2 linked regions of the Drosophila melanogaster genome follow. The protein of the gene in region 1 interacts with the protein of each later gene in a pairwise test. Each region holds a gene or a part of one and is shown on either strand. Other genes may lie near its edges.

Region 1 (15,529 bases):
GTGCACAGGGATAACCCCAATTGACCAGACCGTAGAGTACTCCGTTGTGCGTCAGCGGACCGCCGGAATCGCCATGGCAGGCTCCTTGTCCACCAGTCGTCAGTGTGCAGATATGACATGGACCGTTCGACGGATCGTTGTTCATTATCTCCTGGCAAGTCGAGTACACGACATGCGTGAGATAAGCCTTTTGCAGTATATCGGGCGTATCGCCCCAAAGTTCCGTTGAGCCCCAGCCCGTGAGGAGCAACTGCGTCCCATTTGCCACCGGAGCTGTGGGCAGCTCAGCCGGTTGAGTGTACTCATTGAACTTGATCGTATCGTTTAGCCGAATCAAGGCAATATCATTGTGGTAGTCGGGACTGTTGTAGTTGCAGTGAATCCAATGCTCCTCCACGAAATACACGGCATCCGGCTTTTCGTACTCCACAGTTCCTGTGATCACTCGCAGATAGGTGGGGTTATAGCCATATACGCAGTGGGCTGCCGTCAGGACATGGCGTTCGTCGATGATGCATCCGCCACATATGTGACCTCCGTACATTCCCTGCAACGATATCTGGTACTTGGCCTCGCCCAACTGCACATCTTCGCCATTGATTACGCGATTCTGGAAGTTGACTCCTTCCGCCTTCGAGATCCACTCCAGCTGATCCTCACTAAGCTGCGCCAAACGCACGGCGCTAATGGGCTTATAGCAAGTACAAGCTAGCAGGATCACCAGGATCTGCACAACACCCAGTCGAACCATAATGGTGGTGGGTGCTTGACTTTCAATGCGACAATTAAGCCTGCATATGGGCAGTGATTTTTCTTTTATACTCGAACGTTTTATCGTAAGTCTTGGGGTTTTATCGTAAATCGAAATCAATGTTTCCGCCCCAAGTATCTATGTCATAAAGCCTGATATCGTAAAAAGATATAGACGCACACTGATTATCATTTTGTGACAGGGCAATCAATGTCAGCGCCGTCATTGGATAAGAATAATATCTAGAATGGTCACTTGCTGGATATTACCACTGGACTTTGTAAAACCGAGGGTTGCATCTATTACCATCCACGTCAAATATCTAAATGATATATTGATTTGATCAAGCAAGTCGTATTTTCCAATATCATATTCTAATTGAATATATTTTTAATAAGGTTTCAAAAAATCTTGAATCTTTTAAAATCATCTCATTTTTGGAGATGCCGCCAGCGGTTGTTTGCAATCAGGAAATTTCTCTTTACCATCTTCAAAATTTACTAATTTTTTTTAATGCATACCTAAAAGTCTAAATAAAAGCCGATCTATAATCTGGACTATACATTTTGATAACGGAAATGCAACGAATTGAACAACAACAGTATTCTTAGTTTACGAGATGATCCATTTGAATTCATTAAAAGTAATTATCACTATTTATTACATTAGATTAGGCCAAATAATTTCACATATAACAAACAATTTTTCAGCCCTAGCATGACATTATCTTATGCCATAACATGTTAGCAAACAGTTCCATAAAATTGTGATTGCCCATCTAAAAGCAGGCAATGACCACATGAGTAAGGGTAAAAGTTATCAGCGTTGCTTTAGTCAATACATTTATTTCACATATTTATACAAAAATACATCATAATGATGCCAGTTAATCGCTCTCTCCTTGTATCTCTTTTAGTTAACACGATTCTTGCATCCTGAATGAGTCCTGCGGATCCAATCCTGATAGTAAACCGTGTTGGCATACCTAAAAGGATTGACAATTGATTAATTCCCACCTTTAAAGGGGAGTGGATATACACCATCTTACATGTCTGGCATGCCGACGCCGCAGGCTCTGCCCCAGTTGACCAGGCCCACCAGTTTGCCCTCCCACATCAGTGGACCACCGGAGTCTCCGGAGCAGGCACCCTCGCCCTCTCGCGTAAAGGTGCAAATATGACCGATGTCGATGCCATCGTGAAAGTCCCATCTCTCTCTGCACTCCTCGTGTGCGATGATGGTCAGGTTGAGGGTCTGCAGATATTGCACTGTGGGATAGCTACTTTCCGGAGCACCCCATCCCGTCAGAGTGACCGTGGAACCCGCCGGAGGTTGCTCTCGGCTCAACTCAACGATCTGGGTGCGATCATTGAATATAATCGACTCGTTGACATGGATCAACGCTATGTCATTATTGTAGACATAGGGTATGTCGTACAAGCAATGGACTAGGGCCTCGTCCGGAAATAAGGTCTGTCCTGGCTCCAGACGATCATTCGTGCCCACTATAATCCTTAGATCCTCGATGCTAAAGTCCAGTGCACAATGACCCGCGGTGAGGATCCACTGTTCGTTGAGAATGACTCCGCTGCAGATGTGGGTTTTCCAGATGGTCTGAATGGACACCTGATAAGGTGCCACTCCGTCCTCCGCCTCCTGGCCACCCACAATGCGATTGTCCAAAAGTTTACGATTGTCCAAACGCTTTCCGCGCGTGACGTCAATGGAAGTGCCCAGCAGAAGCAGCCAAATCAGAGACAAACGGACAGCCATCATCCAAAACAAATATTTCCGAGACGAGGGACAATGCCGGACAGCGCGAATTAATGACCAGCAATGGAAAATTGTATGACCCAACTGAGCGTTTTTATATGCATTCCATATAAACCTATTTTATCGCACATCGGGAGTTGGCTCACTTGGGTTTTTTCGCGGCCAACTGACCACTGGCCAGCAATCTTTATGGCCATTCGCAGTCAGGTATCTTTACGGCTGCAAGGATAAAACCCAATCGGTAAAGGCGGAACGTCCAATTGGACCTGGTTGCTCATAAACCCATGGACTTGTGTGACACGGCAAATCTCGGCACTCTATAAATGCACCGGTCGAACTAGCGAGTCAGCTCATAATGACCACGGCCGCAATGCCGCATATGCCACTTATCGCCGTGTCCAGACCCATAAACTGCCTATTATCCAAAATTCGACCAAACTGGGCGATAAGATCCGTCCTATGAAGTGTAATTTTAAGGTGGCCCGGCTGAGGGGTTTTAGTTTCGATTGTACCGCGCATATACCAACCATGACAAATAGGTGGAATCTTACGGTGCTGCTGGGTCTGACTCTGCTGGCTCTTCAGGGGCCAACGGAAGCCATGAGGATGCGAGGAGAACCACTTCCGGGTTTGGCCAATATCGAGAGGCATCGCTCCACCGAAGCTGTGCCCCAAGGTCGTGTGATCGGTGGCACCACCGCCGCCGAGGGCAACTGGCCCTGGATAGCAAGTATCCAAAATGCATACTCGTATCACTTGTGCGGAGCCATCATACTCGACGAAACTTGGGTGCTCACAGCGGCCAGTTGCGTGGCGGGATTGAGGCCATTAAATCTGCTGGTTGTGACTGGAACTGTGGACTGGTGGGATCTGTATGCTCCGTACTACACTGTGAGCCAGATCCATGTGCACTGCAACTTCGACAAGCCGCTGTATCACAATGACATAGCCCTGCTGCAGTTGTCGTCCAAAATCGAGTTCAACGATGTGACAAAGAATATAACCTTGGCGGATATCGATGAATTGGAAGAGGGGGATAAGTTGACCTTTGCCGGTTGGGGCAGCTCCGAGGCCATGGGCACCTATGGTCGCTATCTGCAGGAGGCATCCGGCACATATCTGCCGGTGGACGCATGCCGGGAGAAGTTGCAGAACCAAGATGATGTGGACCTGGGTCATGTGTGTGTCCAAATGGACGCGGGCCAGGGCGCCTGCCATGGCGACACTGGCGGACCGCTTATCGATGAGCAGCAGCGCTTGGTAGGCATCGGTAATTGGGGTGTGCCATGCGGACGTGGCTATCCGGTAAGTATTCCGCCTATATCGAAGAGTAATATATGTATTTATTGCCACCTATTATTATCCACTAGGATGTGTATGCGCGTACTGCCTTCTACCACGATTGGATCCGCACCACCATGAATGGATGTACGATCGCCTAGTCATGGGTACCTCGTATCTGTGCACTGAGAGAAATGCGGCTCATCATGCGGCCAGAGATTTTAAATATGACAAATATATTTTAAAAGCACTATTAAATATGATTTAATCATTAAAGAATGTATATTTTTTCTTATCACTAATACGTTTTCGAATCTCAGTTATTTCTGGGCAAAGTATTTTTAAGTATGGGATATTTAAGCTCAGTTCTACTTGCTTAAAATTATTTGTTTCAGGGTTGGTGTTTAAAAAAATATTTTTTTTGGTTAACGTTCTGAATTAAGCATATATAGCCTTTATCATAGATTTTAATTAAAATAACCTTATCTAACAATTTGTTACCTTATGTAACTGAACATTTTTCATTTTTTACCCAAGTGTATGTACTGGCAACATGATTTGTGTTGATTTGCTGATTTATAAAAAGATATGGGATTTTTACGAGGGGAGAATTTGTGGGTTTTGTTCAGGCTGACCATGATTGAGATTGCAATACCTTTATGGCGGCTCATTAATATCACGCCAAATATCTAATATCGTATACTGAATATCGTTTATTGGAGCTTAGTTTCTTTTTAGCTGCACTGCTTTGCAATTAGTCCAACTTCAGCTGTTCGTCCAAGATGTCTTACCAAACCGGAGCGGTTTCTACACTCGTCCTCGTCCTGTTGGCGTTATCCTTTTCGGAGGCAAGTTTACGCCGTCGGGCCTTCACTTCAGAAAAATCCGAAACCGCGAATAAATTTAGCTCCCGAATCGTCGGAGGAGAAGAATCCGATGTCCTGGCGGCACCCTATCTAGTCTCGCTCCAAAACGCCTATGGGTAATTAACTTATCCTTATTTATGTTATCCTAGTTTCCCTATTGGTAACAATTACTAACGTATTACCACAGAAATTATACTATTTTTTTAAGCAATATATTTTTTTAGTGTCTTAAGTAACATTTTATTTTGAAGTCTAAATAGTGAATTATGCAACTCTTTTAAGTAACCACTTTTGTGCCGGCTCCATTATCCACGATCAGTGGGTCATCACCGCGGCTAGTTGCCTGGCTGGATTGCGAAAGAACAACGTGCAGGTGGTGACCACCACCTATAATCACTGGGGATCGGAGGGCTGGATATACTCCGTGGAGGATATCGTCATGCACTGCAACTTCGACAGCCCCATGTACCATAATGACATTGCCCTGATCAAGACGCATGCACTATTCGATTACGATGATGTCACTCAGAATATCACAATCGCTCCGTTGGAGGATTTGACCGATGGTGAAACGCTAACCATGTACGGATACGGCAGCACGGAGATCGGAGGAGATTTCTCATGGCAGCTGCAGCAGTTGGATGTAACCTATGTCGCGCCGGAAAAGTGCAATGCCACGTACGGCGGTACTCCAGATCTGGATGTGGGTCACCTTTGTGCCGTGGGAAAGGTGGGAGCCGGAGCATGTCATGGAGATACCGGAGGACCCATCGTTGACAGTCGTGGTCGCTTGGTGGGCGTTGGTAACTGGGGCGTTCCGTGCGGCTATGGATTTCCCGATGTTTTTGCCCGCATTAGCTTTTACTACAGCTGGATTATATCAACGATTAACGGATGTGCTATTTCCTAAGTGCAAAAATTCGTATCAATTACTTTTATCCTGGAAAAATAACTTTATTCAATAAAATACTGTAAAAATTGTGGTACGCATTTTCAATATCGCCAGACGAACATTTTTATATTACCTAGTTTATTACGGATGTTCCAAAAGATACATTGTCTCCTAAATTATGTCAAAGTCCAAAATCCAGTATGTGAAACAATTGATTAACTTGAAATCTTGATAATCCCTCGTCCAGACGTCTGCCAATTGTTGTAATTGCGGGTGATAAGTAAAACGTCAAAATTTCATTGAAGCCATAAAAATGAACTGGTTTTTCAGAAACAATATAATACACTACCAAACCATGACACACAGAACTATGTCTATACAATATATACTTTTTTAGTGTTTGATAAAAAACAAAATAAGTAATAAGTAAGTAGGTTTCCATATCGAAGTTATCTAATTTATTTTTATAAATCCTTTAATATTTGTTGAAGATTGTCCTATCTATTCCTTTAACTTGCCTACCCTAAGGGTATGCCGACTTCAGTATCTTCAATGGGCCTTCAATCATTTCGCTATTATTCCAGGTGAATTTCAAGTAAACTTCCATCCGATTACGACCCTATCAACCGACGACGTCTGAAGATCTGCCTAGCACAACTCGAGTTAGCACAAAGTCCGCCCCCGTTGCGTATGAGTAATATTATTACGGTCGTGTGCTAGTTGTCTATCACTCTCAGTCCAAATGGCTATAGAATTCCCCCTATCAGGTTACTATATACGGGCTATGGAAATTGTCATTATCGAAGCTTCCCCCGAACTGAGACGCTTATCGCAAAAAATATTTAAAAGAAACTCTTCGAGAGATAAGGAAATTTTGCACAGCGCTATAAAAGCGATTTTGGTGCCAAAAAGTGGGCATTCCGCTTACGGAAGTTGAACACAACACAACACTACAAATTACAATTATTACAATTAATTGAAACAAATATTTCAAGATATTTGAGCCAAAATGAAGTGTCTAGTACTGATCAGTGTTTTGGTGATCCTGTCTCAATGTTCGGCGAAAAGCGTTAAGATTCATCGTCGTCACCAGTTAAATCATCATTTGGGCCATGTGAAGCCCGAGACCCGTGTGATTGGAGGTGTCGATTCCCCCACTGGATTTGCTCCCTACCAGGTGTCCATCATGAATACCTTTGGCGAGCATGTTTGCGGTGGCAGTATCATCGCGCCACAATGGATCCTCACCGCCGCCCATTGCATGGAGTGGCCCATTCAGTATCTGAAGATTGTCACCGGCACAGTGGACTATACGAGACCAGGAGCGGAGTATCTGGTAGATGGATCGAAGATCCATTGCAGTCACGACAAGCCAGCCTATCACAATGACATAGCGTTGATCCACACGGCTAAGCCCATTGTTTACGACGACCTGACTCAACCTATTAAACTGGCCAGCAAGGGATCACTGCCGAAGGTGGGAGATAAGCTAACGCTGACGGGATGGGGCAGCACCAAGACCTGGGGAAGGTACTCCACCCAGCTGCAGAAAATCGATCTGAACTACATCGATCACGACAACTGCCAGTCTCGAGTGCGAAACGCCAACTGGCTGAGCGAAGGACACGTGTGCACCTTCACCCAGGAGGGCGAGGGATCTTGCCATGGAGACTCCGGCGGTCCTTTGGTTGATGCCAACCAAACCCTCGTCGGCGTGGTCAACTGGGGCGAGGCCTGTGCCATTGGCTATCCGGATGTGTTCGGTTCGGTCGCCTACTACCACGATTGGATCGAACAGATGATGACAGACGCTGGTACCGCGTGCTAAAGGTCCAAAAGTCACCCGTGGGGGTACAAAAGCCAAAACCGAACAAAAATAGCAGCTGCCATCTAATGGCTTCTGCAAATTGATCAAATTAGACTGTAAATTTTATTACTTAGATATCAAAGATATCATAAAATATTTATGAACGAATAAATGAACAATTGCGCTTCAGTTTAAATAAAAACTTTTTCGTATGTCATGTTCTTTAAGGCGGGTGTTCAATTTTAGCACTTCTCCAAAGCCCAGTCATTCGTATGATCCATCATTATATTCAGTTCTGAGAACTGAGTCAACAAACAAACAAGCGCCAGTTAGAAAGAAGTGGGATATCAGAAAGTATTGACTATCACCTGTGGCATTACTTAATGTAGAGATTAGACTCGAGTATGATTGACTATGGAAATAAACAATACCTAAGTAGTTTTCCAGCAGGTTCTCAAATTATAAGATAATTAAATAGAACTGATTGAAAGACTACTTTGATTATAAGTCGATTCAAATTTTTAAAGAATTTCTTTAATGTTTTCTCATATGTCAAAACACCAAAAATTTTGTGGAGGGATAATGTCACTTAGTTGTGACCTAGATAGTACATATATTTGTTTATTGGATAGGCTTTTAATGTAGTTAAATAAACAGTTTAATTATCGCCTTGTTTCAAGTTCCTGTTATGTAAATTTAGAGTGAATCGTAGTTATCAGAACAACCTTATTTGTGCTGAGTGGTGGTTGGTTGCCTAGAATGAAGGGTTCTCCACTCAGCTGGACTTTTTCAACCAGATATTGGCTGCGAAACGTGACTGAACTCGTAATTGTAAATCGCAATTTACCTATAAGATACGTTTACAGAGGTGTTACGATATTCAGTAATTCAAAAGACAAGGAGTCGTTATGTTGCTCATTTTGTTACCACTTGTTCTGTTCACTTCGAGTGCCGCAAGTCAGATCCTATATCCGCCGCAGTATACCAAGAATCGCATTGTGGGCGGGGAGGAGGCTGCCGCAGGTCTGGCACCTTATCAGATATCCCTTCAAGGAATCGGCAGTGGAGCTCATTCCTGTGGCGGTGCTATCATCGATGAACGGTGGATTATAACGGCGGCTCACTGTACAAGAGGCAGACAGGCGACGGCATTTCGGGTCCTAACAGGCACACAGGATCTGCATCAAAATGGATCCAAGTATTACTATCCCGACAGGATTGTGGAGCATAGTAACTATGCACCACGCAAGTATCGCAACGATATAGCTTTACTGCATCTGAATGAATCGATTGTGTTTGATAATGCCACTCAACCGGTGGAACTGGATCACGAGGCCTTGGTTCCAGGATCCCGACTCCTTTTAACCGGTTGGGGAACCCTCTCCTTGGGCGGAGATGTTCCCGCCCGTCTGCAGAGTCTGGAGGTCAACTATGTGCCCTTCGAGCAGTGTCGAGCTGCCCACGACAATAGCACTCGGGTGGACATTGGCCACGTTTGCACCTTCAATGACAAGGGACGCGGAGCGTGTCATGGAGATTCCGGTGGTCCTCTGGTGCACAATGGCAAGCTGGTGGCTCTGGTCAACTGGGGACTGCCATGTGCTAAAGGATATCCAGGTAATAATAATTTAATATGCGTTAAATACATATTAAAGCTCATTTACTATATTCTACAGATGCTCACGCTTCAATTTCATATTATCACGACTTTATACGCACTCACCTAAGTCTATCCAAAACGGACAGCTCTGAGGATATCGAGGAGGAAATGATTGCTCTCCAGGATTAGTGACAAGATAGACATTATAATAACATTATAAAAATCTTTCAAACTCTGAAAATATAAATGAAAGCTATAAAATGAAGCATATCTAACGATAATTTTTACACATTTTTAGAAGAACGTATAGTGCTGATTACATTAAAATGTATAGTTTGTATTAAATTATTTTAACTAATGTAACTGATCAATGCAAACTGGAAATTTACTGTAACAATGTGGCTATTTTTGTAAAAATTCGTAAAAATTATACATATATTTGGAACACAAGTAAAGTGCGCATTGCACTTTTTAGGGTAATTCTTGAGAACCGCCAAGGCCGACATGAAGTTCCGTGACAATGGAAAGGTCCTTTGGAATTTCGCAAGGATATCGGCTCTGCAACAGACTCGATATACGTTCGGCAAAAAAATGCCAATTGCCAGCTATAGCACTGCCAAGGATAAGCCTAAATCCGATCAGCCAAACCTTCTAAAGTATCATGTCTTACCTCTTGAAGAAATCCTCAACCGCTTCATGATTACCGTACAACCATTGCTGACACCCGAGGAGTTCAAAAAGCAAGAGAAGATTACTAACGAATTCCAGAGGAAGGAGGGCGCTAAGCTACAAAAGCTCCTCGAAGAAACTGGTGAACAGGAGAAGAACTGGTTAGCCCATCGCTGGCTGAAGGTTGCCTACTTACAGTTTCGGTCGCCAGTGACTTGCTTCTCCAGTCCCGGCATGACCTTTCCCAAACAGAAATTTGAAAGTGTCCACGAATTTGTGGACTACACGTCTAGGGTTATCTTCGGTTTGGGTGAGTTCAATGACTTGGTGCACGCCAAAAAGATTCCGATTGTGAAAATGGGCAAGAACGAGCTGGACAACAGTCAGTTTGGAAAGGTTTTCGGCACATGCCGGATACCGAGAAGGTTTACCGACGATATCGTCTACAATCCGTGCTCTGATTATGTGGTGGTTATCTACCGGAATCACTTTTATCAACTGAAAATATACGACAAGGAAGGAAAGCTTATAATTGCACCATGTCTGGCTGTTCAACTGGAGGAAATAATGGCAAAGGAAAAGGAACCGGGAGTTCCTTATGGAATCTTGACCACCGATTCGCGGGACAACTGGGCCGAGGCATACGAACACTTGTCAAATACGCCCCGTAATAGAGTTGCCCTGAAAACCATTCAGAATGCTATGTTCACAGTGTCCCTCGACGAGTGTACCAGTCCAAAAGAAGGTCGAGATGCCGAAGAATTGATCCTTACGCTGATCCATGGAAAGGGCAGCAAGTGCAACAGTGCCAACCGCTGGATGGATAAGACAATTCAATTGGTGGTAAACCCAAATGGACACGTTGGATTCACCTATGAGCACTCACCAGCCGAGGGCCAACCGATCGCAATGATGATGGACTATGTAGTGAAGAAGATGAAGGATGACCCTAGTTATGGGGAATGCGGATCGGAAAACTTTATTCCAGCGAAGAAAATAAAGTTCTGTGATGTAAGCAAATGCGTGGAGCAATGGTTGATAATCGCGCAAAAAAACGTGGACAAACTTGTCCAGGACCTGCAAATGAAGGTTCTTAAGTTCGATTGCTACGGCAAGGATTTCATCAAGAAACAGCGACTTGGTCCAGATAGCTTTGTTCAGATGGCATTGCAGTTGGCATTCTTTAAATTGCACTATGAGCCAGCTGCTCAATATGAATCGGCGCATTTGCGCATCTTCGATGGCGGCCGAACCGAAACCATCCGTTCGTGCTCCAATGAATCCCTGGCTTTTTGCCACGCCATGGATGATGTGAGTGCATCAGCTCAGGAGCGGGCTAGTAAGATTCGCGAGGCAGTGATGTGCCATCAGATGTATGCGAAGCTGGCGCTTCTGGGAAAGGGTGTCGATCGTCACCTCTTTGGACTTAAACTAATGGCGGTGGAGAACTGCCTACCTGTTCCGGAGTTCTTCTCTTCGCCAGGATATGTAAAGTCCACGCACTTTCGAATGTCCACTTCGCAGGTGGCCACCAAATATGATGCCTTCATGGGATATGGACCTTCTGTAGAAGATGGATATGCCTGTTGCTACAATCCCCGTGAACATGACATCATTTTGGCCATATCCGCATGGCGACATTGTCAGGCAACTGATCACCAAAAGATCGCCAAGGCGCTTGCGCAGTCCTTTGCTGAAATGAAGGATGTACTTGAAACATGTCCAGCTTCAAAAGACAAGCCGCCAGAGCTTAAGTGCAAGTATTGAATGTGTTTTCCTAGAACATACTTTGGATCCAAAAAAATTCCTCTTATTCCAATAATACGTTCGTTCAGTTTGGAAAGCTAAATTCATTCCCATTTAGTGGGACTTATTAAAGTACTATTAATCACTTCTTAAAATCGTCATCTAGTTAAAATTCAATGGTTTTTTTTTTAACAATTATATTTTAATACGGATTTGGGTAACATTGGCAAGCACTTAAACCTAAGTGGTGTTGATGACAGCTAACTAGATCTGGATGTGACGAGCAATGAAGAATACTTAGAACTGGTTCGCGGGCAAATAATGATTGCCGATGGGACCGACGCCAGAGTTTCCGGCACCGTTCTCCGCAAATTGTCCCTCTGAATGTTGCTGCTGTTGCTGTTCCTCCTCCTCCTCCTCTGGAGGATCCAGGGATCCCACCACCGAGGTGATGGGGGCCACACCCTCGTCGGTGATGGTCGAACTTCCTCCCAAAGTATCGTACTGTGACTGAATCTGCCGCTGGGCATTCAGAGCTTCCTCTGGAGTGCGGTACTTGATGAAGAACACCTCCGGCTTATTGATGTGCTGTGGCGCCTCGGCAATGGCATCCTGCAGATCGGAGGCGGTCGTCTTCTTGGCCAGCACATAGACCACGGTCTTCTCCTGCTTAAGGGTCTTGGCCAAGTTAAGAGCCGCCGCGCGATTGGTCTGAGCCGGCGTCTTGACGAACAGCACATTGTAGTGGTTACGGGGCTGCTGGGCCAACTGGTTCAGCTCGTCCTGGACCTCATCCTCAGACTCCTCGGGCGCCGAGTGGATGAAAAAGTTTTTGGTCACAATGGGACGCTTGGGAATCCTGACACGCGGACGAGCGCGTCGCTGCTGCTGGATGGGAGCGGTCTGGAAATTGACGGGGAAGCCGGCGGGCATGGGAAACGATCCGGCTGTGGGACGAACTGCAGGCTGGGCAGAATGGAACTGGCCAGCGGGCGGGAGGTAGGGCAGTGGGAGAGGTGGAAGCACCGGGTGCGAGGATTGCTGGGGCTGGAGCTGCTGCTGCTGCTGCAGTTGCTGGTTCAACAGGTGGGCCACAATGGGCGGTTGCTGTTGCTGCTGCTGCTGTTGGATGCGGTAGTTGTAACCCGCCTGGGTCAAGCTGATGTCAGCCTGGCTGAGGCTCAGGCACATGGCGCCCATCAGAACCGTCTGAAAGAGAAGCAATCATTATAATCCCTTGTAATCCAATTGGCATAGAGGTAGTCCAAGTTCCAACGCACCACAAATATCTTCATGCTGCCGCTTGGGTGGGTGTCTCTCTGCTGGTTAGCTGTCTTAAGCCGGATGCTCCCTCGCTGTCCGAGTTTCTTAGTGCTGTGATGATGGGTCAACCGGGCACCTGGCCTTTTATACCAATCCACGGGCCCAACTTGTTTATAATCGGAAACAAATCGTGAAACAGCAGCCAACACAGTTGCAACAGTCGAGGGGTCATAAAACATTTGTTATGCGTGGCGAAGAGGTTGTTCGGATTCATTTGGCTGGGTGGCAAGTGGGCTTTTGTATCGACTTTACATGGGGTTCCACAAAAGTCGAGCGAGAGGAAGCCCCAACAATGGGTGATACAGATACGACAAAAAAAAATCTGCATTTGTTGTAAACAAGTTAGTCGAGCTGTAACTATATCATTTTGAACATTTGCCTTATAAATATAATATATATTAAGTGTGCGTTCACTCCAAGCAAGTATCTAATACGATTTCAGAATATAAACAAAATTCAAATAACTATTCATTCATCAGATCCCTAGTAACTATACTAACTTCAATCTCAATATTGCAATTAATTCATTGAATTTGATTATAGATTTATATTTAGATTTTTTCATACAGGCAGTAAAAACATTTATTGAGAAACTACTTAATCATTTAATTGTAAATATAATTAAAATACCCAAGCATATCCATGGCTGCCAAGTGGACAATCAAATCGTCGTTTAAATTAATACAAAAGTTTTGTTTAGCTTCGTAGTTTTTGCAGATCAGTTGAATGTCCCAGAGTAATATGTAAATATTGATGACGAAGATAGGCGGACGAGGTTACTCGACCGACTTAAAATGCACTTTTGTCTACGGGACCATTGTCTCTATTTTGTTTTATTGTTCGAAACCTGAGCTATCAAATGGAAATTGAAAATTGTATATGCCGGGGACTTCAGTATTTCGCATCAGTTTTGGTCTGGCCCAAGGTCTAGGTTTTTGTCTCCATTCGATGGGGCGTAAGTGTTGGGCGATATATTGTCAGCTTTAAATGTGCCAAATTGAGACAAAATGATAGTATTGAATTTGAATTGGATTTCAAACTAAAAAAGTGAAGGTAAATAACCCCCGATCAAATCGAAAGCACAGCGTATCAAATGGATATGCCAGCTTCCAGCGGAAATTAGTTGTCATAACAAGCAGATGCATACGGAATACAAGCAGATATAGACCTTATAGGGCTAATTGGCAGGTCTCCATACTAATGGAGTGAATGTGCAAATGGTGTAATATCGAAGCGGAGATAGCAAGCTTTGCTGCTTCCTTTCCAATTTGGACTTACACACTTGCCACTTTGCCACCTGAGATATATTTCAAAATCTTGTGCATCCGACAGGGTGCATCTCATTAGCCGGGTGAAATTCTGCCCACAAATCAAAATAAACCAGCCAAGGGCAACTTGGCCACCAGATAATGAGTTAGCCCACATGTTTTCTGGTCGATGCCAAAAAAAAAAAAAAATGGTTTTCAACTTTCTCACGCCAATTTCGTGAGCCATGAAAAACAGTGAAATGGAACCGAAACTATGTTCCCTTTTTGGGCCATTAAAGATGCAAAGATCTGTCAAAGAAATATACGATAAGTTGTTTTCTGTTTGTAATGGGAAACCAAAATTACTTTGTCATTAATTAATAGATCTAAATGCATTAGTTCAAAAGTAGCAACAAGAGAAAATTACAATTTTAAATGGAAATAAAATGCGACCATGATTAATGGGTGCCAACTATTGCCGCACTTTGCATATTTTATGCAAAATGAATAAGTTGCCAAAATCTATTGAATGCAAAACACTCGGTGCGCAGATTAGTCAAAGCATAAAAGTGAATGTTGACGGTACACAAATTATGATTTGCGTAACAAAACTATTTTATTTTAATTTATTAATTCACACCATGAGAGATTTTGACATAGGCTACCTTTGTCCATTCCTATGCATAGCATTAGCAACCGAATCCGAACCCAAACTACATCCACCTGCGAATCCGTATCCCAAATCCATCACATCGAAACGATTGGGCGATAAATGCCCCTGCGATCGATGCCTACCATCCATCCGGTCGTAATAAATGCATTTTTAATTATTGGCCTAAAAATGGTTAAAAATTAATTATGGGACACCTCGAGCTCACAACTATTTTCGGATGACCACAAAACCAAAGAAAATAAAATGTTTTTTTTTTTTTCAATAAGCATGTGTATCGAATCATGTTTTGTTTTTTCTACGCTTAAGCTGACAGTTTTACATGGGCTGTTGAACAAATACTGACAAATGATTGAGGATCGATTTCCGACATATTTTAATAGGATAGTTTCTTATTCGTTTCAAGTATAAGCAACATAAATATGAAATTTTGATAGGTATTTTTGGATCCTTTAGACACCCAATTAAATGATATCAATCAATTTATTGACAGTAAACTGTTAACTATTCAATTTATTGATTAGACTGGCGTTTTACTCAAAATTAGTTAGATAATTATTCGATCCGGCTTATGCAACACGCGTGCTAAACGAACTCAAGCCATCGGTCTCACAGAAACGATTGTTAAAATACTTGCTGTAGGCCAAGATAATAATGTTAAGTATAATGACCCACACATAGTAGTACATAGGTCTAGAAAGCGCGGCATTCATAAGAAGTTAAGGGACAAATGCTGTCGAACAGATTCGGTGACTTTGGCCCTCTCACAATTTGCAATTCACATTCAGCTATCGAATTCGATATTAGTGGTTCAACAAGTGTTCAATTAGTTATTCTAGTTGCGTGTATATATATATATGTATATGTTTATAGTATGTTTAGTTTATGTTTCAGGCGTAATTTT
Region 2 (17,625 bases), 3.4 Mb from region 1:
TAAGTATTTAAAATGAATAGCATCTAAGGGTCATAAAGTAGACCAGACGAGACGAAAACCATAAAAATAAATATGATTTTAAAATCCAATAAACCAAGAACTAAATGAGCCGTTCAATAGATGTATGAGCCATCATTTCGAGAATAAAACAATGCCCGATGAGGCAGATCGTGTCTTACATAACCATTACGCATACGTAATGCACCCCGGCCTGCCGCAATTTTAGATGGGGACTTGCCATTTCTAATTAGGCTAATAAACGCAATGACTTGGGACAGATTTGCACTTGTCCGCGGCGAAGTGAGGTGGGCTGCACCAGAACTTTTAGCCTTGGAACACAACCAACGAACAGCTGTTGGTGCAATCAACCATATAAGCGAGCAATGATAAATGCTACAGCGGAATGTATAAGTTCAATCCCTAACATTTGGTTTTCATAATCTCAACTCATGTGCGGAGAGCTTGAGGGAAATGGAACCTAAGCACTTGTGACACGAAACAAATCGCAAAGGGGCCAACGCTTTGATTTCGAAATATTCTTTTTGGCTCAAAAGATGCTCTGAGTAATTTGCGGAATGAGCACCGCATTGTCTATAATTAAACATTCCTCCAAAACGAAAGTGCCGAGAGAGAAAGTGATCTAGAGCTACGAAAATATCTAATCATCAATATCTAATTAAAGTTTACTAACTGGTAATAATATATTTCAGAAATGTTGAAAATAATTTCCATTTCCCATAAACCCATTAATCTCCTCAAAGGTTTTTTGTCACGTATCCGCCGGGTTGTACCCAAAATCCCGGCAGAGAGCGCCGCCACCCGGCGAGAGGAAACCGAAATAAAAATGAAAATTCAAATCAGGCGAATGTGAAAAGCCACTCACTCACTCAACTGTGTGTGCTTTTGACAAAAATTCGTGCTACGAAAATATCAAAATCGAATAATTTTCGCGGTCACAAGGTAAATTCATGGTATATGCATGTTGAGTTACGAATTGGTTTTGGACCGGGAGAGATCGTCTCGTATACTCGTGTACGGCAAACCGAAATTTCCTTCCTTCAGACATTCAGACTAGATAGAAAATAGATGTGATAGGTGTTGGGAAAATTCGAGCTGCCCTGTTCAAAAAACGACACGCACACGACGTGCACAGACGACCCAAACGAAAAGAAAAGACGACCACGACGGCCAGAAATAAGCAAATTATTTGGCTAACAATCGTCGAAAGGGACACTAAGGATTACCCAGCCGACGATTGTTGGTTAAATTTTGCCAACGGCAGCGCGAAAACTTTCTAAATCCATAATCTAAGATATTTAATTCTAAATCAAAATCCATCGATCTGCAAAGTGAATGAAATAACGAACAAGTGCAAAATTGGAAACTGAAACTGTGACAAAATTTGTGCGAACCCAATTCAATACCTACTCAGATACTTATATATATCCATCGGACTTCCAAAAAAACACACATATATATCCAATTCATTCATCCATTGGCTCTCTGGCCTTAAATAATCGTTGGTTTTCCCAATTCTTCATCCTTTTCATTTAGTGCATTTAAACGAGCGCATATATAGCGGATGCATATATATGCAGAATACGAGCAAAAGTGTTAATTCTAATTTTCCCTAATTATTCATAATTACGGAAAACTTGTAAGGAGGATTTATGACGTGGCTAAAGTGCTAACCACGCTGGAAACTCGAGGATAATTTGTTGTGTTGATTATTATGGGGCGGCTAACCATTTGGTTCCTACTGGGACTAACGTTAATCGCCGTTTCCAATAATGGTAAGTACACTTCGAATGTTTTTTGCAGTGTATTACCCCCAGTTCCTCCCCGCGTTATATAAGGCAAAAGGGCGAGTTGGCACTTTTCGAATATCTTGACAGTTTTTCACACAGCCTGGGCAGGCATTATGCAATTTTAAAACAAAAAGCCAAGAAAAACAGAAGAAACGAGTCTGAAAAAAATATGTATTAATATATACGTTTAAAAATATTTGCCTGAGTTTGTGCGTTCTCTATACATTCTCTATTTCTTTTTTTTCGGGTCGGTATTGGTGTCTGCAAACGTCAGTGGACGACACTTTGAGCATTGGTATATTAGTATAGCCCCGTACACTTGACTTGGCCAACCAACTAGTGGCAGCACAGATACAGATACAGATGTATAACTTTTGCCGATTTTTCCTATTTTTTTTTTCTTAAGAGAACTGAGAATTTTTGCGCTTGGCCGCTCATCGTTGTCATCGTTTGTAATATTTTAAATTTAGATATTTTTAAGTTATTTTATTTGCGCTCAGCGAGTGCTTTCCATTTATCTATTTTCCCGCCTGTGTGTGCGAAATGTCTCTCTATATATTTTGTTTGGTTTGCTCAAGTTTGCAAAACAGTAAAGAAAAAGAAAAAATTGAATGATAAATGAGCAACGGCACAAATGCCGTGTACTATATATTATGGGTTAAGATGGGCTCGATTGCAGCAACATAAACACAATATGCAGGCTGGCAATCGGTTGGCAGGCGAAATTTGTATAAATAATTCTATCAATGCGGTTAGCAATGAAAAATACGAAATTGCTCAAATAGCTTCCGCCCACATACGCCCAGAAATAAATCAAAAGAATTATCCGCCGACAAGCAAACTGCACACTGAAAACTGATAGGCAAACTCATTTAAATCGCAATTAATTGAGCTCAGGTTGTTGGCAGATATATGTACGAATATCCCTCTAATCTCTCGACGACATTTGTCCCAAGTGCCTGAAAATTCCAAAGTAATTAGCCAAGCGACCTTACCATACTTTCAGTCCACCAATCACTCAAAACGCGACCTTCCATTACCAAAAAGCAAATGCTGTGGAAAGAGAATAGAATGTTCCATTGCAAATGGTTCGCCCCCGCATCCGGATTTTTCGGAGCAGTAAGGTGGCCAAAAGAAACAAAAACTGAAGAAGTAAGGCCAAAGTGGGCGAGCAGCCAACTGAATGGTATAGAAATTTACTCATCCACAAACTGGCAAAATGTGTTTGAGTTTTCATCTTTTAAAAATAAAATTCATAAATCCGCCACATACATATATATATATATTCCGAAGTGTGTATGTTTGCTTTCGACGAGTACCATAAATAATGTCAAGTTTGAGCAGATAGAATGACCTCGTTGATGGCGGTGACATCAAACCGAGAAAGTGCGACCATTGTTCTAGGATGGGGCGGTTGGAAATAACTTGGACTTTCCGATATCTGGGCTGTATGTTTGGATATACTCGTATTACAAATTGACCTGTCATGTTCTCTTTAACGATTTTCAGTTGGGTTTGTCAATGCCGATGTCGGACCAAGCGAATCAGAATGTCGACCCTACATTGAAAAGGCTATTCATGAATTGAAAACAGGTAAGGGCTATCTTGAGTATCTGAAGAATTTCAATTGCGTTAAAACCATCTTATGAATTAATAATATAGTTATTAAATCTGCTCCTTAATTGAATGATTCATCCTAAAATTTCCATGTTTTAAAAAACTCAACCATCAACATTCATACACGTGTACGTGTTAATAAATTGTATTAATAGACCAATTAACATATAGCTACAAATCAACGTCATATCTTTTTAAAATATAATGAAAATCCTTTTAGCCATTTAATTTTTTTTTATTAATCTATCGGAGTACTCATACGATTTCAGATGGTGTCAGGGATGGATCTGGAGAACTGCAATCCGATCAGCCACGTGGGGACGACGACGATGACGACGATGATGGTGGGCATTCTGCGGTTGATGAGAAAGATACGATTGAAATTGAAACTGTCGAATTGGATTCCACAGAGGACGCGAAAAGTGCCAACGATTTGGATGGAGATGGAATACCCGATGACGAGGACGATGATATCGATGGGGACGGCATTCCGAACGAAAAGGACGATGATATCGATGGAGATGGCATACCGAACGACGAGGATGATGACATCGATGGCGATGGCATCCCGAATGAAGATGACGACGATATTGATGGGGATGGTGTGCCCAACTCCAAGGACGAGGACATCGATGGGGATGGTGTGCCCAACTCCAAGGACGAAGACATCGATGGCGATGGCAAGGCAAATCACGGTAAGAATCATGGTACTCCTGATCCACCTACAATGCTCTCATCTAAGATTTTATCTCACAGAGGATGATGATCTAGATGGTGATGGCACTCCAAATCATGGTAGGACCATAAATTATATTTAATATTTGCTGTTGTATATTTATATAGCTTCATTTATACGCTTTGTATATTTGGTTTTTAGGTTTATTTTTATCTGATATTACTTGCAGTTTAATTTCTAAACTATTCGCATTTATTATTTCAGATTGAAGCTATTTTGCGCTATAATTCGTTGTTTATTTCAACATTTTAGCTTACTTATGAACGAATTTTTATGTTTCTTCAGTCTCTCACTAGTTTTTTAAATATTTCAGAGGACGAAGATCTCGACGGGGACGGTGTGCCCAACGAGGAAGATGATGACCTCGATGGTGATGGCAAAATAAATCACGGTGGGTTAACAGACATATTTTTAAAGGCTAAATATTAATTAAAAATTTAAATGTACAGAGGATGAAGACCTCGATGGTGATGGAGTGAAAAATGACGAAGACGAGGATCTGGATGGAGATGGCAAAGTAAATCACGGTAAGAATAATTATAGCATAAAAAGTCTTGAATTATTATAAAACATTTTTTATTTGAACTTGTTTTTTATTTTCAGAGGACGAAGATCTTGATGGAGATGGCGTGAAGAATGAAAAGGACGACGATTTGGATGGCGATGGTACCAACAATTCTCGTATGTATATATTGACTTAGAATAGCTAAAAACTGTTTTAGTAATCTTAATGTAAACCTAACCATTTCAGAGGATGAAGACCTAGATGGTGATGGTGTGCCAAATGAAAAGGATGACGATCTGGATGGAGATGGCATCCTGAACGAGCACGACGGTGATGTGGATGGCGATGGAGTTCCCAATGAACACGATCACAAGGATAGCGGTGAGAATGCCGATGATGATGATGACGACGATGATGAGGATGACAAGGAGGCGGTCAAGAAGCGAAGCAAACGTGAAGTGGATGCTGCTCCTGTTCTGGACATTGAGGCTCCACCAAGTCCCGCCGAAGAATTTCCCGTAGAGGAAGAAATCGTCAAGGAGGCATCTGCCGAAGAGGAAGCCGAAGTTGAGGCTGTGAAAGAAGAGGAGCCCGAGCAGGAAGCTGTTCAGGAACCCGAACCGGAACCGGTAGTGGAACCAGAAGCGGAAGTGCAACCCGAACCAGTCCAGCAGGAAGAAGAGAAGGCCGAATCTGCGGAAGCGAAGGAGGAGGAAAAGCCAGCACCAGTTGAGGAGGCTGAGGCTGAGGAGGAATCTGTGCAGCCTGAAGCCGCTCCCAAAGAACCCGAAGCTGTCCAGGAGGAAGCACAGGAAGATGAACCACAAACCGATGGCGCACAAGATGCCGCTGATGATGATGATGACACCAAGCCAGAGGATGAGCTTCTTTGGGTAAATCTCTACAAAGATGTATATAGTATTTTAATAATAATTAATTTATAATTTTTAGGAAGGACACATTCCCGAGAACCGACGCAGTCGCCAGCACATCACCGAACTGCTCCAGTTGGATGAGGAGTTCAATGCCCGTGAGAAGGCTACCGACAACGTTGCTGAGATCATCCTGCGGGACATTAAGCGCATCTACGAGAATGCTGTCAAGCCCCTGGAGACCCTGTACAAATATCGCGATCTGAGCAACCGCCACTTCAGCGATCCCGAGATCTTCTCAAAGCCACTGATTCTATTCATGGGTCCTTGGTCCGGCGGCAAGTCGTCCATTCTTAACTATCTGACCGACAATGAGTACACGCCGAACTCTTTGAGAACTGGTAAGTACAAAAATGAATGGTAAATTTATGTAATTAAATTTATTTATGTATATATTACATCTAATTTCCTTATAATATACATATATTGCCGCTGAATTTGTATTTTACATTCTTTTTTTTAAATATTCTAAACAAATCCGTATAGAAATTCCATTTTCCATTTGGACGGTTGCAAATGATTTGTATACAATTTCCTATTAAACATTTGTTTATACATTTCTTTGACCCGCAACAGGTGCTGAACCCTCTCCGGCCTACTTCAACATTCTGATGTGGGGCAATGAGACGGAGGTTCTGGACGGCACTCAACTGGCGGCGGACTACACCTTTGCCGGCCTCCAGAAGTTCGGTCAGGGATTGGAGGAGCGCCTGCGTGGTCTGAAGATGAAGAGCAAGATCCTCGAAAAGGTAGGCCAAATGCAAACATATCTCGCTGGGCAGATCAGGGAGAGATGCTTATGGGCGCCGCTAAGCATTAACTTGTCGCCCAGGGCAGCAGCCCGTCGATTGGGAAACTGCAAACAGCTGGCCACCTGCCAAACGGAATTTATAGCTTTTAGCACACAAGCTGTGGGCATTAATTTTGTTATTAATAAATTAAATGCGGAACAGGGCAGAGAGTACACAGTACACAGATAGCAAAGCTAAAATGGCTGAGAATTACTATATTTAAGCGCTTGACGATGCGTTTTTCAGGTCAACATCGTCGAGATACCCGGCATTCTAGAGGTGCGCAAGCAAGTGTCCCGCGTCTTCCCCTTCAACGACGCCTGCCAGTGGTTCATCGATCGGGCGGACATCATCTTCTTGGTCTACGACCCGGCCAAGTTGGATGTGGGCCCCGAGACGGAGGCCATTCTCGACCAGCTGAAGGGGCGCGAGTACCAGACGCGCATCATCCTCAACAAGGCAGACACCGTCAAGCCCGAGGAGTTGTTGCGCGTCCAGGGCGCCCTCATCTGGAACATCTCGCCATTGATGTCCTCCGCCCAGCCGCCGCTGATGTACACCACCTCGCTGTGGACCCATCCCTACCAGGATGGTGCTCCCGCCCGCCTGCTGCTCGCCCAGGAGCGCGCCTTCTTGCGCGACCTGCGCACAGCCATCGACAAGCGCATCGAGCACAAGATCGCCAGCGCACGTCGTTTTGCGGTGAGTACTCGGGCGTATGCGTGATACGATTACGATTACTTTGTTGAGAGAAGGTGTAAATGGGCAATGTTATAAGAACCTTCAGTGAATATTTGAATATGTGATAGAAATGAGCATACATAATCAATTCAAAAACCATTTCCTATTATAGTTATTGTAATGAATTGATAATAAATTAAATCCATCCATTTGCATTCACAGGTGCGTGTGCGCAACCACGCCAAGATGGTGGACTGCTACCTGAACACGTTCAACAACCACAAGACGCTGTTTGGCAACAAGAAGCGCATCGCCGATGACATCATCGATCATCCGCAGAACTACCACATCTACGAGGGACTCTCCACACTGACGAACATCTCGCGCTACGATCTTCCGGATCCGGAAGTCTACCGCGACTTCTTCCGCCTGAATCCGCTGTACGAGTTCAAGAAGCTGAGGGACACCTGCACCTACTTCCGCGGCTGTCCGATCACCAAACTGGACCTGGCCATTGCCTACGAACTGCCCGAATTGGCCGGCAAGTACAAGAAGATGTCCGAGGCTGCGTTGGCCGCCATTGAGGCCCAACAGCAGGATGGAACCATAGGCCAGGCCGAGCCTAAGAGGACGAGTTGAGGTGTTGGCTCCTCCCAGAGGAGAAAACCTGCCATTTAGTTTGTTTTAGTGAGAGATAGAGAGAGAATGTGACATCGGCACCGGAAACCGTCTATAGGGAATTAATATCGAGAAGGGAGAAATGTTATAGAACCCCCAGAAATCGGTAGAGAACAACAGCGCAAGACAAAAAACAAGGACATTGTTTGAGGAGAGAGAGGTATAGCTTAGCTAAAGAGAGAGAAAGCCGGATAAAGTGTGTGAGAGAGAGGGCGAAATGAAAGAGAGGGAGGCAAGAGCGTTTTGAAAAAACAAGCAACTTTTGCTTTGGAGAACTTTCAATTTCAACCGCCTTGCAGGAAATATTTATTTTCATTTAATTTACTACAACTTAACCGAACTGAGAGCTTTATGAGAGGGAAACTAATACAATATCGAGAGCAAAACACACACACAATAAATAATTTCATATTTATCCAAGTAGAGAGGGAACATAGAGTCTTTTCTAGGCGAGTAGATCAGCACTTATCCCAAATCTGAGAGCAATAACTAATAGACGAACTATCGACGACCTCTAACCCACAAAGCATAACCCTAAAATCCGACCCCTCATTGGCTAATAGCAGCGTATAATTCCCATGTTCCCGGTTTTTTTTCATCTTTTCTTTCCTCAAATAGTAAAGGACAACAGCGCAGAGTTTTGATTTTGAGATCTGAGATTTGAGTTTTGAGCAAATGGAATTTCGTAAAGTTATAATTTCTTTGGTTTCTTGTTTCTGTCCCTGGCGAATTTTCGTAGCTTATAAGACTTTTTGATAAAAGCAAACAGTGAAGACGATAATAATGAATTTAACCTATTTAAATAGAACAAATAATCTTGTTGACGAGCGAGATCAGCTCCTATACATAAAATACAAATAATCAATTTGACACACTGAAAGCCTATGTAAAAAATGAACTGTGAGAGCGGGTGAAATACACAAATAAATAAAAACAACAGAAAACCCCAAGCAATCGATTGTTTTATTATTCAAAATCAGTTGATTTTTAAACGATTTGTATTATTGTTTCGGAAAACAAATTACAAATGAGTAAAGGGCAATTTAGTTTGTTTTATAATAGTTTTTATGTAACAATCATCCGTTATCATTTAGTAATCATCTTCAGAGCAAGAGAGTTAATCAATAAAATTTTTCAAAGTGTATTTTTACATTCATTACATTTTACATTCGGTATTTTTGATAGTATTTTTGGCTCAAATCTGGCATCTGTTATGCTGGCAGGGTGACCATGATGATACCACTCTGTTAAAACATATGTTCAAATTACCTAACAAAATTTGACAACACACGCGAATCAGGAAAGTGGAAAGGCAATAAACCCGGCCGGAATCAGGAGAAAATGCATACGGATCTTTCCTCACATCTGCACACGCCCGCTTGCAACAAGTTGATCGAGGAACTCCAGGCCTGCCACGAAAATGTAAGTAACCGGGATTTTATTTTATAACCGGGATTTATGCGAATTCTGCTTGCAGAACGCCTTCGCAAAATTTGTGGGCGTGTGCAACTCCATTGACGACAAGGTGGTCAAGTGCCTAAAAGGCGAGAGAATCGCCCGATCCGCCGCTAATCGCGCCAAAGCCCGTGAACGTCAGGCGAAGTACAAGGAAAAGTTGCTCCAGCAGGAAAGTAACTAAAGGAAAGAAATCAACCAGGATGTCAGTACAAGCAGATGATCCACTGGAGCCATTCTACTTCGAGCACGAGGAGCAGGAGATCTGCGGGAAGCTCGTAGCTCCCATTACAGATAGCTTCCAGGAGGATTACCCCAGTGTTGTAGATCGTTTTTTCACCAGATATTACTACTTCAAGGGAGATGTTCCCTACCAAGTGCTCTACCACTCCAATCGCATTTGTCTGATTTGCCTGGCTCCCGAGCACCCTGCTCTAGCTCAAGGCATCTCATCGGTCAACTTTGATATAGGGAACGTAGATCGCAGCCAGAATGTGGTCAAGGGAAAGGGTAAAAAGGGCGGAATGATCCTACAGGCGGAGTCCACCTTGGCACTGCTCACCACAGCAAATGGAGGGACTTACAAGGTGCCCAGCTGCATTCGGGGCAAGCTGGTAGAGGTGAACACCGCCATTGTGGAGGAGCCAAAGCTTCTGGAGCAACTCCCCGAGGGAGCCGGCTACTTCGCCATTCTTCTGCCCAAAATCGAAAACTGCGATGCAATCAAGGCGAGTCTTTTAACCCAGGAGCAGTATGAGGAGCGCCTAAAATCGAAAAACGAAGGTCTACCTCAAATTGAGTCCACCGGGGACCACGCTCAAAACAAAAATAAGGAGATTCAGGCGTGATTTTGACCCTTGTTTTGTTGTGCTTCTTCTATAAGGCCTTTGTATTTTAAATTAATGATTCATACATATATTATATTGCTCAAAGTCAATGAGGACTTAAATAATAATAATTTTGACAGTAAACCACAAATAATATTTTCTGAAACTTGTGAATTTTGTTAATACTTATGGTCAAATGTAATGTCGGGTCTACTATTTAATTTCCAGTAAATTTTATTTCTTAACAGCCTGTTAACTCCGGTGCATTTACAGAACTCTGCCCACTTAACAGCACGCTCCGTAATAGTTGGCAACTCAATGCAACACGTGTGGACGATAAACAGCTGTTCGGGCGGCAATTTAGTGGAAGCGAAACAAAACCAAATTCGTTAACTAAATCTTAAAAATGTCAGCTAATAAGCAAAAGAAATTGAGTACCATGGAGGTGGACCCCAACGAGGATGTCTCCAGTTCCAGCGAGGATGATGACGACGACGAACCGCATCCAGATGCCTATAAGGGAAACGAGGTAATCTAAGTGCCTCCAAAATATGAAAAGCAAATGTGTTTCAAAATTAATATCCGGCTAGGAGGTGCAAATCGACTTTGAGGGACGAGCTCCAGTAGATCCCGATGCCCAGGGAATCTCTCAACTCCTGCAGCGACTATTCCTTCGTGCCCACATCAACTGCAACCAAATGGCGGATTTGATCATAGGTGAGCACTCCAAGGTACTATCTTGATCTATCTATCAGCACAACTTTTTTTGTTTCCAGCCCAAAATTTTATAGGCAGTGTGATCTGCCAGTGCGACGACGAGGGCACCGAAAGCGAAACGGAGGACGACAACATGGTCGAGGATGGCACCATCTTTGGAATCACCTCTGTGCTGAACCTGACCGCCAAAAAGGATCAGCCCAGCATCGCCCAGTTAAGGACCTACATACTGGATCGCGCCAAGACGCACGCTTCTCCGGAGGTTCAGCAGCAGTTGAAGGAGATTCTAGACAGCGAGCAGCGCCATGTGGGATTCTTGATCAACGAGCGCTTTATCAATATCCCTGCCCAGATCTCCGTGCCACTGCTGCAGAGTTTGCAGCAAGAAATCGAAGCCGCCAAGGCCAAGAAAATGAAATACGACTTTGGCACTCTGCTGCTGCTGGTTAAGTTCTACAGGAAAGAGTCGAAGAAGGGCAAACCGGGCGAGGACGTGTACACCAACGCTGAGGATGAGTTGCTTTCGGATCGGGCTAAGTTCTCCTTCGAGTATTCCATGGCCTCTGAAACCGATTCGGGCATGTCTGGCGATTGGCTGGAAGGCGATGCCGTGATGACGCCCTACAGGAAACTCCTGGTCCTGGAGGCCAAAAAACTTCCGCAGCTTATTGACGATATACAACGCTTTATTAATGGCGAATAAATATTTTTTACATTTAAAACTGCTGTGTTATTTGGCCTTAATATAACACCCCGACAAATATCTAATTAAGAAGTAATAATGTCCGGTCTCTAACGACCGATAAGCTTCTATTTCTTTGTAGTCCCATACAAAGAGTATCAAAAATTCGAACCGAAAGCTTTCCACATCCTTTATGACAATTGGCAACGCGGGCAAACCACAAACAGCTGTCACTTGGCCGGCATTTGAAAGCTTCGCACATGCCGGCTGGTCTACTGTGAAAAAAAAACCTGGTTGCCATTCCTTTGTTTTTTGCCACTGGTTAGTTTTGGCCCAGAAACTGCATCCACCGTGGACGTGACTGGCAAGAGGAACCCACAATAACAATTCCGAAGACCGAGCGACGTGAGTAGACTTTGCCTTTATTGTTTACAAGTTATATCCGAGTTCTAGAATTACGTACATAGCGAGCATACTGGCGATTATTCATCGCTCGTGCGATTTGTTTTCATTCGAAAACGCAAGTAGCAATTAAAAAAAAAAAACCTAAAGCCCGGCTCGCTAGTAAAATGTATAAAAAGCTTGGCCACCCAGCCAGAACATTGCAAATCGTCGCGGAGAGCTATCACAATCGCTCCTTATCGCCAGCTTTCCGTTCCAGATCCCGCTCCCAAGTTTCCAGTTTCCAGCTGCAGCGCTTTGTTCCCATCAGGGAGGTTCAGTGACGCCCCACTTGCCGATCAACCAAGTCGCGTGAGCTGCCTGCGAAAAAGTACTCATCATGGGTATCGAAAAGTGAGTATTTATTACCAACAGTTATTAGAGGGTGTGTTTTAAGTTAGCGCGGATCAGTTATCTAGCCACCGCTTAGCGACCGATTGGAAAAGCTCTCAAAGATTCGCCATCTTTTACAGTGAGGGTTAGTCGCTTAGCATCCATCAATTGCTATCTTATTTACCTTTCCCATAATTCCAAAACGAAATTAGAATGTTTTTAGTACTGCATATCTCAGCGTTTATCAGTTTTAATTAGTTGCCGGCAAGGAATAGATGTCATGAAAATTCCAAACTTTATCTTTTCCCAAAATAAAAACAATGTTTGGCGAAATACTGTATAAAAGTTAAAGGGGGGAGGTCACTTAATTTTATCATTATTACTTAGATAACGAGTTCTTGCTACTTCTGGAAACAGATATATATAGATCAACTTTTATTGTTTGATATGGGGCACTTCAAAAGATAACACAATTAAATGGTCAGCGACATAGGATTATTCTCCAAAATATTATAGACCCAGTTACCTAAGGATTGGTATTTAGTAGAAACACTTGAATAAGATTACAAATATTCTAAATAAGTACTTTAACACCATTTGTGCTAATACTTGGTACACTTGTTTCTAAATTGGAAATCGGTTTGTGATTATGGTCATTTCGAAAGCTTATCGCGATTCTTTATAGCACTTCGAGTTAAGATAAGCCCAGCGCCAGGAATGAGGGTAAACGAAAGGGGAACACACTGAAACATGGCCATGGTTGCTCCTAATACAGTGGGGACATTTTCTTTTGAAATAATAAATTGAAATACAAAGGCAACAGGCTGTTATGCAATATGAACGACTGCATCAGTTAATAAAGCAAATGTGACGTGATAAAATTCAATTCAATTAAACGCTATTGCACATTTAGTTGACACCCAGAAATGTTTCTTAATGAATACCAATAACGATTCCGTTGCGCACTTTAACTCTACTCTACGTGTGCCCCTCCAGAATTCTACCATGCACCCTCCGGCTGAACAAGCTGATGAGTCTGGCCGGCAACGACTGCCTGTGCATCATCGATCGCAATGCGGTTCCCAATGAACTGAAGGCCACCTTCGAGGAGCACCGCAAATTCGACAAGTCCTTCGACAGCAGCATATCCTGCTTTAAGGTGCCCAACGTGGATCAACCTGTGGTCTATGCCCCCGTCTCCGAGCTCACCGACTACGACGATGTGAGGAGCTACCAGGAGGCGGCCAAGCGGTCCATGGAGAAGGTTCTCAAGGTGGGTTTTTTTTTTCTATACATATTGTGTGAATTATGAAAGAAAATGTATATGTATTCTTTGCCAGGCTGGATTCCACACGCCGTTGCTGTTTGTGCCCAAGGTTAAGCGCTTCCCCGAGGTCGAACTCTGCACCGTTCTGGGAGCTCTGGAGCAGCTTTATGTGGTAATATGGATTATGTTTACTTTTATTTCAATCAATGTGCTAAAACACGTTTTTTAGCCCATTCAATTGCGCGAGGCAGGAACTTTGAAGGACCCCCGTGTGACCACGCTCAGTGTCCAGATCGATGATCCAAGGGCCGAAGCTATTTTCCAGGAAGCTCTCATTCTGGAGGCCGGTCGCTTTGTGGCCCGCGACATCGGAGTTGGGGACCCGGAGCGCATGACGCCCATCCAGGTGGAGAAGTACATCAAGCCGTTGTTCGACAAGCTCAACGTGAATGTGATCAGTGACACCCAGGTGTTGCAGAAGGAGTATCCCCTGTTTGCCGCCGTAAACCGGGCTGCTGATGCAGTGGAGCGTCATCGTGGTCGCATCATTTTCCTGGAGTACAAGCCTCCAAAGCCGGCGAGAAAAACTCTGATGCTGGTCGGCAAGGGTGTTACCTATGACACCGGTGGTGCTGACATCAAGGCCGGTGGTGTGATGGCCGGTATGTCGCGCGACAAGTGTGGAGCGGCTGCTGTCGCTGGATTCATGCAGGTGGTCAGTCAACTGCAACCGGATGATATCCATGTTGTGGCTGCCCTGTGCATGGTGCGCAATTCCGTGGGCGAGGAGTGCTACGTGGCCGATGAGGTTATCACCTCGCGAGCTGGTCTTCATGTGAGGATTGGAAATACTGATGCCGAGGGTCGCATGTGCATGACCGATGCCCTGTGCCGCATGAAGGAGTTGGTCGTGGAGCAGAATCTCCCGGATCCGCATCTTTTCACCATTGCCACCTTGACTGGTCACGCCTTCATCTCGGCAGGTGAGGGTCAGTCGATTGCCATCGATAACAGCGTGGCCCATCGGGAGGATCACGCCAGAAGACTGCAGGCTGCTGGACAGGCCTTCGGAGAGCCCTTCGAAGTGTCCATTCTCCGTCCCAGTGACTTCTCTTTTAACGCTGGAAAGGTGATTGGCGAGGATTTGGTGCAGGCCAATAATGCCCCGTCGGTGAGGACTCCTCGCGGTCACCAGGTGCCCGCCGCCTTTATGATTAAGGCTTCTGGACTGGACAAACACGGGTTGGATTCAATGCTGCCCATTAAGTACACCCATATTGATATCGCCGGCAGTGCCGGTGAGCACCCAGCGATGCCCACAGCTGCCCCTCTTGTTTCCCTGGTGAAGACCCATCTGCAGAAGTAAATCATGTCCACCTAATATTCAGGAGGATGTGTACACGATCACCACAAACAGTACTTATACACCCACGTGCTTAGCTAACCAACAATATTATCCTACTAACTGCATCACTGTTTTTTAATAAAGGCAAAACCGAGTTCAGATTGTATTCATAAATGTATGTCACTAATTTGGTAATCGTTTACAAATAAATGTGAAAATGATTTGTTTTTTTCCTTAAGCTTACAAAGCAAATATCTCATTATATTCATCAACATGGAAATATAAACATTATATCATCCCATTATAGAGAATAACCACCCTACATATATTTGTTAAGTATACAAGAAAGCCGCGTGGGTATTCGGTCTTTTTTATTTCTTTTTTATTATTACTGCATTTCCCAGCTGCATTGTTTGCATAATTGGCGGGTGCCCTGCATTTCGAGCTCTTGTTGGCCATCTACGGTATGGCTCGTACTCCTGCTCTTCCCCTTTCGCAGCCTTTTCTCTTCAGCTTTGCAGCGCCTTCTTTTTTTGTAGCTTGGCCCACAGCCTAGAACCCGTTAGTCGCTTCTTGGCCATGCTCTTCGCTTTGGGCCCCGTTCCCGGGAGCTTGGCCCAGCAACTTGGCGTGGATTGGCTTGGTTGGGGGATGGGGATGTGGATGGGGCCCGCTTGTCAGCTGTCGCATGTGTCTTGGTACCGTTATTGCCTGGCTTTGGAAACTCGGTCAAGAGTGTCTCATTCATGCTGTGATTGCATAATATACCGTTGGCTCCCGTTGGCCTTCTTCTGGCTTCTGACTGCGGCCTCTTCCCGTTCTTGGCCGTTCTCCCGTACCAATACCAACTTGGTTCCAACCTCTTTCTCCATCTGCGATGGGTGCGCTTCTGGGTAATTTATTGACAGTCACACTGGCCACTTTTGGTCATCTGGCCAAGTCGGAACACTTGGACTCTGACCGGGCTAACGGTACTTATTATTGATGAACGCAAAAGTCTTTTTCGTTGACTTGTCTCCCATTTACAATCCGTTAGTGTGAATTTATTGCCAAGGCGGCACGAACCAAGAAGAAGGCCTCAGCAGCAACAGAAGTGGGAGAAAAGAGGGAAGATCTCTGGTCTTGGGAGGCTTTCTGGCTTCTTGACCACTTAACGGACCATCAGTTGACCTGATTATGGCAGGACTGGTTCCTGGACGCTTCCTGGCCACTATCCGCCAAATCTGGTTCATGCGGCAGATGATTAATCGATTTTATTGGCATCCATTTTTATGGGCTTGTATTGAGATTGCGGAAAACCGTATGGCGTATATTTGTGGTTAAAGAAATCGTCAAAAATCTTACACGTAAAATTATAGCGATCTTAACGTAGTTTAATTTAAATGATTTTGTTGGAATATGTGAGGTAGCATTGAATGTTGGTTCAAAGCAGCTGACATGACGCCTGGCCCCCCAGTAAGATATCAAAAACAACAGACCAAGGAGCAACAACAGCAATGAGGAACAACAATCCGGTATGGACAATCACCAAAACACCTTGTCAATTGGGCGCTTGTCTTTTGGAAGCAGACGAACTGGCTCCAAGTGAGTGCTGCAGTTGCTCCCCGATCCATAAAGTCGCGAAAACGGCAAATGAAGAAAACATACCATTGGGGACCTGGGACTCAAGACGTCGGCGGTGGCGGCGACGGCATTAATAATAGCAAACAACAGACAAGCAACACCAAATGAGGGGGGCTGTGTTGCTGCTGCTGCTGCTGCTGCTGCTTGTTGCAACTTGCAACTCTTGCACCGGCAGCAGCAGCGTCAGCAGCAACAGCAACCACTTGGAGCAGCAAACGACAGAAATGATCTTAAATGAATGCGGAAGTTTTTCTTGGGGTTTCGTAACCAGCTACAGCAGCAGCAGCAACTACAGCAACTGCCGCAGCAGCAGCAGCAACACCAAAGAGGTCGCAATTCCAGTGGCAGCAATGTTGCTACATTTATGTACATGTGTTTGTCGGCCAGTCGATGCCGTGAGCCCATAATCATAGATGCTGCCGGCTAGGTCGAAAGCAGCAGCCCAGTCCATGGACATATTAAAATTAATCCAATGATTGCAGCGGCAGCCGCTTGAAAATTGTTAGCCAATTTGGTAGCCCCTTTGGCAGGCTGTTCGTCGTAGCCAGTTGGCCTCACTTCAATGAGCAGGGAGCGTGTGAATCGGAAGCTGAGGCACCCAGCTGCCAATAGTCATTTGATCCTGGCCCAAAAGCTCGGCCAGTTTCCCATGTGCCCAACCAGTTGGAAGATGATGCAGCAGTTAAAGCAGCAACAAGAGCAACAGGAGCAGCAGCAGCAGCATCAACAGCAGCAGCTGCTCAAATCATCGAGTTCTCGAACGTACCAAGTTCAAGGCTGCCAGGATCCATATTGAATGTCCTCCCCCGCCTGCAGTTGTTCATTCATGAACGAGAACCCACGAATCCCTATGCGTGGGTGGGCCAAAACAGATCCTGCCTGAGAACAGACAAATTTCTGCATAAACTCATAAATATCAAGTTGATCTAAACGGGATACGGGATCCCAGAGGCGCCGGCGCCCTGAACTTGAAAATCCAACAAGGCCGACCAGTCACGTACCAAGCAACTTGACAACTCATAAATAAACGCTAAATTATGAACTCCAGTCGAATTTGGAAAAGGAATTGAAATGTTTTTGCCACACCACACAGATTTTCCTCTGTCAGCAGCGTTTCAGGAAAACCAAACAATCGGCAAACCCACAGCAGGCTGGGCTGGTATGCACGGAAAAGAAATGGGTAATTT

The links.
Region 2: the proteins of TwdlW (region 1) and CG9286 interact in a two-hybrid assay, tested with the Drosophila melanogaster proteins (one large-scale study listed by BioGRID).

What each region holds. Positions count from the first base shown.
Region 1 is NT_033777.3:17,129,633-17,145,161, forward strand, and holds TwdlW (TweedleW), read right to left. Parts: upstream 12,773-15,529; 5' UTR 12,681-12,772; coding exon 12,666-12,680; intron 12,595-12,665; coding exon 11,683-12,594; 3' UTR 11,576-11,682; downstream 1-11,575. Other genes in the region: CG17475 (uncharacterized protein), read right to left, coding at 1-751; CG4053 (uncharacterized protein), read right to left, coding at 1,664-1,736, 1,800-2,524; CG31266 (uncharacterized protein), read left to right, coding at 3,053-3,829, 3,895-3,966; CG31267 (uncharacterized protein), read left to right, coding at 4,588-4,787, 4,954-5,581; CG5246 (uncharacterized protein), read left to right, coding at 6,573-7,391; CG5255 (uncharacterized protein), read left to right, coding at 8,279-8,987, 9,047-9,159; CG5265 (uncharacterized protein), read left to right, coding at 9,475-11,406.
Region 2 is NT_033777.3:13,770,618-13,788,242, forward strand, and holds CG9286 (uncharacterized protein), read left to right. Parts: upstream 1-10,346; 5' UTR 10,347-10,436; coding exon 10,437-10,559; intron 10,560-10,620; coding exon 10,621-10,747; intron 10,748-10,806; coding exon 10,807-11,450; 3' UTR 11,451-11,465; downstream 11,466-17,625. Other genes in the region: CG9297 (uncharacterized protein), read left to right, coding at 1,733-1,793, 3,318-3,401, 3,695-4,120, 4,182-4,220, 4,475-4,552, 4,611-4,688, 4,765-4,842, 4,913-5,559 and 4 more; CG42375 (uncharacterized protein), read left to right, coding at 9,090-9,170, 9,226-9,387; CG9288 (uncharacterized protein), read left to right, coding at 9,407-10,051; Dip-B (dipeptidase B), read left to right, coding at 12,211-12,224, 13,200-13,476, 13,544-13,642, 13,700-14,836.